Linked DNA regions of Caenorhabditis elegans. The main gene of each other region encodes a partner of the protein of the gene in region 2 in a complex. Each region holds a gene or a part of one and is shown on either strand. Other genes may lie near its edges.

The links.
Region 1: osm-12 (region 2) and bbs-9 share a complex: the UniProt entries of both Caenorhabditis elegans proteins name them as parts of the BBSome complex.

What each region holds. Positions count from the first base shown.
Region 1 is NC_003279.8:6,921,347-6,925,273, reverse strand, and holds the start of bbs-9 (Protein pthb1 homolog), read left to right. Parts: upstream 1-2,300; 5' UTR 2,301-2,318; coding exon 2,319-2,406; intron 2,407-2,874; coding exon 2,875-2,942; intron 2,943-2,988; coding exon 2,989-3,121; intron 3,122-3,585; coding exon 3,586-3,893; intron 3,894-3,927. Other genes in the region: C48B6.9 (uncharacterized protein), read left to right, coding at 1-93, 141-424, 480-565, 664-854; C48B6.10 (Small integral membrane protein 15), read left to right, coding at 1,604-1,694, 1,941-2,035. UniProt on the Caenorhabditis elegans protein: Component of the BBSome complex. The BBSome complex is thought to function as a coat complex required for sorting of specific membrane proteins to the primary cilia.
Region 2 is NC_003281.10:12,200,191-12,204,117, forward strand, and holds the start of osm-12 (BBSome complex member bbs-7), read right to left. Parts: upstream 2,348-3,927; 5' UTR 2,261-2,347; coding exon 2,162-2,260; intron 1,875-2,161; coding exon 1,812-1,874; intron 1,132-1,811; coding exon 877-1,131; intron 1-876. Other genes in the region: Y75B8A.13 (titin), read right to left, coding at 3,708-3,829. UniProt on the Caenorhabditis elegans protein: Component of the BBSome complex. The BBSome complex is thought to function as a coat complex required for sorting of specific membrane proteins to the primary cilia.

The DNA.
Region 1 (3,927 bases), on a different chromosome or scaffold from region 2:
GGAACATATAGCGGAGCTGGGGGACAAGTTAGCGATAGTCACCCATCAGTTCTCGATTTGAACAGCGAAAACCGAGTAATGGACCGAAAAACGGTAAGAAAAGTTTTTTTCAATCTTTCTATGCATGAAATTGTGTTTAGGTTCACTGGAATATGCTTCTCCTCCTCTTCATGTCAGTTTGCTCGGCATTATTCACCGTTGTTGCTCTACAATTCCACTTTTCAAATGCCGAACGATTTCTTCGCACCGCAAAATCACCGGCATCGGCATATCGAGGAGTAATCGATGTCATTCGGGATGTCATCGCCTCATTCGACGTGGCAATCGTGATTCTGTCGATTCTGGCATTCTTTGTGTCTGCTCTTCAATTACTATTCCTGATGAAGATAGTAAAACAGACACAACAACCGGATGATATTGATGTGTTAGTGCTTTTCAAAAGTTTCACATTAAATAGCTTGAACATTTTAACATTACAGGGCACTTCGATACATCAAATCAACCAGCTTTTTAAGAATTGTGGCATTCTCGTTTTGGTTCGCATCAATAATAGTCTTCGTGATCGGTGAGTTTCTTAAATACTATTCATACGCGATTATAAAAATTCAAAAGAATGAATTCGCTAGAATACAAGAAACAACTCTGCAATTCTAATATTTTCAGTGCTAATGCTCACAGTCTCAATTGACCCATCGCGAAGTTTGGCCTCAAAATGTGTATCGATTACTTTAGGATCTTCCGCCGTCTTTCTTGCCACTTGCTTCGCCGTGAAAACCCTCTATTTCTGGGCAAATCATTCTTGTGGGCACGTCTACCGCGAGGATTGTTACAATTACCTAAGCACACTGGTCTGAATGTATTATTTTTATAGCTTGTTATTCTACCCACTTCTATATTGAGCTTTTTCATCACGCAAAGTTTCTCAAAATTGACACCAATGATCTGATTTATTTCATACACATAAGACTAATAATGAATTCTTATTGAAATCCTGATTAATGGATCTTTTTTAGTTCATTACTAATACAAGGCTTATGTTCATGAATTCGAGGGAAAACTAAAAGAAAACAGAACAAAAATGACGGAGCAGACATAAATCAAGATGCGGATAAATAGTAGTAACATACATAAGAGATATCTATTTTGTGTTTTGCAATATTTATAAATATTGTTTTTTTTTAATTTTAGTAAAAAAGTTTGAGAAGCAAGTGAGAAAGTATATTTTCAGAAGAGTAAAAAAAAACAAAGATTTGCAAGAGAAAAAAACGTTTTCAAAATTGTGTTCTGAATGCCTTTGGACGCGTCGCGGTGGCGCTGCGTGTTCTTCCAGCATGGCATTTTTTCCAAAGAAGAAACACGTTTGCATTTGTTCGTCGCCCATTTTTATTCGTACATTCCGTACAAATTTTATCAGTTTCTGATAGATTTAATATTGTACAATGAGAATTTCCTATTTTTATTTGGCATTTCGCAAGTTAAATCATTTAAAAACAGCTTTTTGTAGAGAAAAATACTGAAAACTACAGTATACTCAATTTTTTGTGTTCTTCAAATTAAATTTGTTTCATTTATTTTTATTATTTTCAGGTGTTAGCTAGCAAAAATGGTTGAGCTTGGAGGAAAAGGGCCATACTCGACATCGTTCGATAACTCTGTCTTCATCATCCCCGCAATCGTTATTGTAGCCGTTTTCGGTGAGTATATTAAAACTAAAAATAACAACGAATCTCGCAATAATTTACAATCTTCAATAGTCAAATCTTTTTGGTCGGGCTATTTGTTAAGACCAACATAATTTTTGAGTACTGTAGGTCTAACATGTTTTCCTTTTTTTGAAGATAGGCTAAGTTCCATTAAAAAAACATGCTTCTACCGTATTCAAATTGATAAAAACAATTCACACATCCATCAAGCAGTTGATAGAAACATAATGTTTTCAGCCTACGCCGTTATCAAGCTCCGTGACACCACTTTGGCTAAGGATAACAAAAGCACGGCTCGTCAACGCCGTGAGGAGAAGAAGAAGGCCAAGTAAATGTACAAAAACAGGACTACATCCAAAGTTCACATTCCAAAGACAACTCGACATACAATTTAACAATTTATACTTCGATTTCCATTTGGGTTTTTTTGTATTTATTTAAAAGTTTTATTTGATATTAATAACGTTTTCTAATGTAAAAATAAAATTGATGAACGGATCTTGTTTCTCCATTCTCTACACGCTGCTCCATATGGTTTCCATGACAACACGCGCACAGCAGTGAGCAGGTGAACATCGACTCTATTGCTTACTCTAGGGCACGCTTCAGTCAAAAATGTCGCTTTTTCGGCTCGTCGAATGGGTTTCACAAACAATTCCTAATACGTCAACTATATTGAACGCTTCATTTTTTCAAGATAGAGGTACTTTTTTCAAGATGTCAAGGTCTCCAGTTCGATGTCATGGTTGTGCAATTTTTTTTGTTGAAAAAAAAAACGAATCTCAATTTTGCTCCACTGAGTATATAGTTTTCGACGTTAAAATAGTAACATCAGTAGGATTTTTCCAAAATGCACTCAAAATTAATTTTTGGTCAAAAATTTGGCACATTGCCAAATTATTGAAAAGTTGGTTTTTCTTTAATTTAGAGAATTCTTAAATATTCCAAGCTTGAAAATGTTTGAATATAAATAATTAAAACAAATAGAATGATGAACTTGTGGAACATTTTTAATTTTGGTCGGTTTCCAAAATCATGATAGGTGAAAACTGACCATTCTTTTTTTGACTAAATATAAAATTTTTCAAATATTTGGAAAATTTTCACAATGATATTTGGTCATCTTATTACTATCGAAAGGCTCTAAACGATTCCCCCGTCATTATTCCAGAGCAACTTGTTATTGGAGGAGAAAACGGTCAAATTACGATCTCAGATCCAGGATTCAGGGATACCAATGTGACTTTTAAAAGTCGAAAGATTGCAAAAAATGTGGTAATTTCAGGCGCATGTACTGTGTACAACTGAAACTAAATATGCTATACTCCAAATGGCATCTGATAACTTTCTACCTTCAATGAATAATATTCTTGCCGTCTTATCACCAACAAAGTTAACCTATTACAAAGTTCATTTTGGTAAGTTATGTATCTATTCAGCTGTTATTTATCATACAGAGTGGCTCATAATTATGACAAACAGATGTGGTATCATAAAAACTGTTTTTTTGCAAACTAGGTCAACTCCAAGATATTCCTGATCCAACATTACATTAATAATTGAATACATCTTTCTAATTCGTTAATATAAAACACGTTTTGATAAATCGAACTATGAAATCTATTTTGACAGGCTCCATATTTTTGAGTCTTTTCATTTTGAAACCGATAGTTGTTGATACATGTTTATTTAACTTCAAAGAGAGATAAATACAATATTTGATTCGGATTGTCTTAATAAATACGGGTCATCCTGTAATATACAAAAAATAATAGGCTCAAGTACGAAACAAGGCTGTGCGGCTGGTAAAAAAATTCGGCTGTCGGCTGATGCCGACAGCCGACAGCCGCACAGCCCTGGTACGAAATGGTTAAAATTTCAGCAAGTCCTGATGAAACCCTCGCATCACTTGATGAGATATTCTCTCATTCTTTTTCAACATCTGCATGGAATATGTGTGTAATACCAATTGAAGAATCAACTCCACAGATATTAGTGCAATCAATTGATTGTAAATTATCTTTGTTTCAAGGAGATCAATGTGTTTTTTCAATGGTTCCATTGAGAGCTCTTCAACCAGGACCAATCGGTTACTGTCAGACTACACAAACTCTTTTTGTTGCAAATAATGGATTCTTAGCTGCTATCAAATTCAGTCTTATGTCAAGTGGATCGCAGAAAAAGATTAATGTAAGCTGTGGACTATTGAATATTTTTCGAATGT
Region 2 (3,927 bases):
GAGGACTTTCAAAATTGTCATTTTTTGCCATAAATTGTCATTTTTGCCACTTTTTATTAGTTTTTGATGGGTTGAACCTAGTTTTTCTGAATTCTACGTATATGAATTACCCGTTTTCAACAAATTTAGACAACTTTTTATTTTTGCCCATTTTCATTTTTCTGCCATCTTTTGGGCAAAAATTTGGGCAAAAAAAAAGATTTTTCTGGAAATGTACAAAACCACTATATTCTGAAAAAGGGCAATTTTTTAGCGTTCGGAGATCAATTTTGAGTCCTCTAACTACAAAATTAACCATTTTAGATTAGTTTCAAAATTGCGTTTTTTGCCGTAAATTGTCCATTTTTGCCACTTTCTAATGATTTTTGACGGGTTAAACCTAGATTTTCTGAATTCTCCATATATAAATTACTTTTTTTAAACAAATTTAGACAACTTTTTATTTTTGCCCATTTTCATTTTTCTGTCATCTTTTGGGCAAAAATTTGGGCAGAAAAAAATTATTTTTCTGGAAATATTCGAAACTATTATATTCTAAAAAAAGGGCAGTTGTTCAATGCTTGGAGATCAATTTTTCTTTTTTAAGTTAAATATTAAACTCAAATTTGAATGGTAAAGAGCTTAACCACAGTTAGTTTAGCGATGTGCACCAGAGGTGCGCGGCAAATTTGCCAAATTTGCCGAACTTGGCGAGCACGGCAAACGTTAAAATTTGCTACACACCAAAAAGGGTGTTGGAAAATGTTGAAACATTTTCGTTTTTCTATTATTCGAATTTCCGAAATATTGTTTTAAAAAATTCAAAAAAAAATAATGTTATTTTTCATCAACAGAAACAAAATCTGGTTATGACCAACGGGTGGTGCAAAAACCTACATTCGAATCCACCGTGTCATGATATCTACTGTAACTTTTTCGTCCAGTCAAAACCACATCCAATCCACGTACGAACATTCGATTCGCAACTTCAGCCATATTAGTTTCCATCGAAAAAAATGTTTTTCCTTTTCGATTGACTCCTCGAACCGTATTTTGTGATGCGACAAAGATTTTATCCTTTTTTTTCGACGATGCCGGGCCACCGAGAGCCAACGATTGAACAGGGTATCCTGGTTGAGTTTTGAATATTATCTGGAAATTTTTAAATTAAAATCCGGCAAAAATCGGAAATTCGGAAATTTGCCGGAATTGAAAATTCCCAGCATCTCTTCAAACGGGCAAAGTTTCGGAATTTAAAAGTTCCGGCAAATCGACAAGTAGCCAAAATTGAGCTTTTTTGGCAAACAGCAAAGTCGGCAAATTGCCATTTTTCAAATTTCCGGCAAGTTCGGCATATCTCGGCAAATCGCTTCGTGCATTTCCCGAATATTTTCGTAAAAAGTACAAAAATTGCTAGAAGTACGAAAATGTGCGACAATGGGTAGAAACTGGGTAGAACCGATATACCGGCAATTTGCCGACTTGCCGATTTTTTCTTTTTTGGAAATTTCAGAATTTCAGTTGTAAAGGGCAAAATTGTACGCATCCTATGAATGTTTCTACATCTATTTTGAAAAATAAGCAAATTCTACATATGAAAATGTCTAAAGAAAACCGAAAAAACTTTAAAAAAGGCACAATTTTAAGTGTTTCCGTCTTATCCCTCTAAAATCTTCCGGGAAATTGATATCCGGCAAATCGGCAAACCGGCAATTTGCCGATTTGCCGAACGGCATTTGTTTCCCACGCCTGTTTTAGAAAACTACATAGCATGTGTACTCCACCAGAAAAATCTGAAACTGTCTGGAAAAAATCATAAAAAATTTACTCACCGTGGTGTCATTCGATTTTCTCGATAAACAGATTAAGCTTCCGTTCTGTCCACCGACTACTATCTGCAAACATCAAATTGGTTTTTTTTAACTTTCACGTATCTCTGGCCTCCCTCATAAATTTAAATGGAAGAGTTTGCCTAACTAAGCCAGGCCATATCTGGGGTAGATTTACGGCGCGTTGCGTGTCGCGTCGCGGCTCGATTGTAAAACTATATGTATTTGTCCGTGTGGAGTACACGTTGTGCGGCGGGGGTGATTGTCAATGGAGCGCGAAAAATTCAAAGAGGAAGGCTAGAAGCCCGTGTATATATCTGATACATGCTTAAAGTATTTAAAAAAACCCTTACCAAATCGTGTTCTTTCTCCTTATCCGACGGAATAACACGCATGCAACCCCGATTAGTAGTGCCGACTTGAGCGAAATCAGTTCTCGAATAATTTTGCATTTTTTACAGTGGAAGCTGAGAGAAATGTGAGCAGAAAATCCAAGATTTCAATAAATGGAGAACTAGGAACCGCCGAGTCGCTGGTGTTGTCGAGTTACTATGGCAACATGAGCTGGAGAGGGGTCAGGTGGCTCATTGGGGTGACGGGTGAGAAGCGAGGTGTTTGAAAAAGATTGTAGTAGGTATTTGCTTAGGAAATGGGCCATAATGACCGAGTCTAAAAAACAGTGCACTGCGGCAAATTTGCCGAAATTACCAAGCTGGGCAAATTTGCCGAATTTGCCGTTTTTTTTTTTAATTTCACATGAGACGTATGTCATCTAAAAGCTATACTACAAACTTGGTGACCACCAAAATTCAAAAAATAATTTAAAAAAACAGGAATTGAAAATTTCCGGCAAATCTGCAAACTGCCGGAATTGAAAATTTCTGGCAAAACGGGAATTTGCCGGAACTGTAATGATCCGGCAAATCTGCAAACTGCCAGAATTGAAAATTTCTGGCAAATCGGCAATTCGCGGGAATCGAAAATTTCCGACAAATCGGCAAATTGTCGGAATTGAACATTTACGGCAAATCGGCAAAACGGCAATTCGCTGGAATCAAAAATTTCCGGCAAGTCGGCAATTTTCCGAAAATGAAAATTTCCGGCAAATCGGCAAATTGCCGGAATTGAAAATTCCTGGCAAATCAGCAAATTTGCGGCAAATCGGCAATTTGCCGAAAATGAAAATTTCCGGCAAATACGCAATTTGCCGGAATTGAAAATTTCCAGCAAATTGGCAAGTTGCCGGAATTGAAAATTTCTGGCTAATCAGCAAACTGCCGGAATTGAAAACTTCCGGCAAATTGGCAAATTGCCGGAATTGAAAACTTCCGACAAATCGGCAAATTGTCGGAATTGAACATTTACGGCAAATCGGCAAAACGGCAATTCGCTGGAATCAAAAATTTCCGGCAAATCGGCAATTTTCCGATAATGAAAATTTCCGGCAAATCGGCAATTTGCCGGAATTGAAAATTTCTGGCAAATTGGCAAATTGCCGGAATTGAAAACTTCCGGCAAAACGGGAATTTGCCGGAACTGTAATGATCCGGCAAATCTGCAAACTGCCGGAATTGAAAATTTCTGGCAAATCGGCAATTCGCGGGAATCGAAAATTTCCGACAAATCGGCAATTTGCCGACGAAAAAATCTTTCGCGCTTGTCCACGTGTAGTACAAAATTCTGTCGTAAATCGACACACACTTGCAAAATCACCTCTTTTTTAATTCCTGCAAACTGCAAATTTCAGGGGTTGATCTAATTTTAAAAAAAAAACAAAAATTTATTGAATAAAAAAGTCAAACTTTTTCAATAAAATGGAACGGGTTAACAATATATAATCGTTTAAAAAAAAAGGGAGATCATTTTTAGAAAATCAAATATTAATTTTAGAAAAAAAAATCATTCAAGACGTGGTCTTTTCGGATCCTGGGCTTCATCCTCGTCGTGTTCAGGCAGGAATTCACGTTTTTGAGCGGCGGAACTTTCTGTAGATTCTTGAGCCGGAGCAGCAGGAGTTGTTACTGAAAAAAAAGAATATTTTTGAACTTTTCAGGGAAATACTTTTAAATTACTCTAAATTTGCGCCTGATTCCGAATATTTATGTTAAAAAATTCGAAA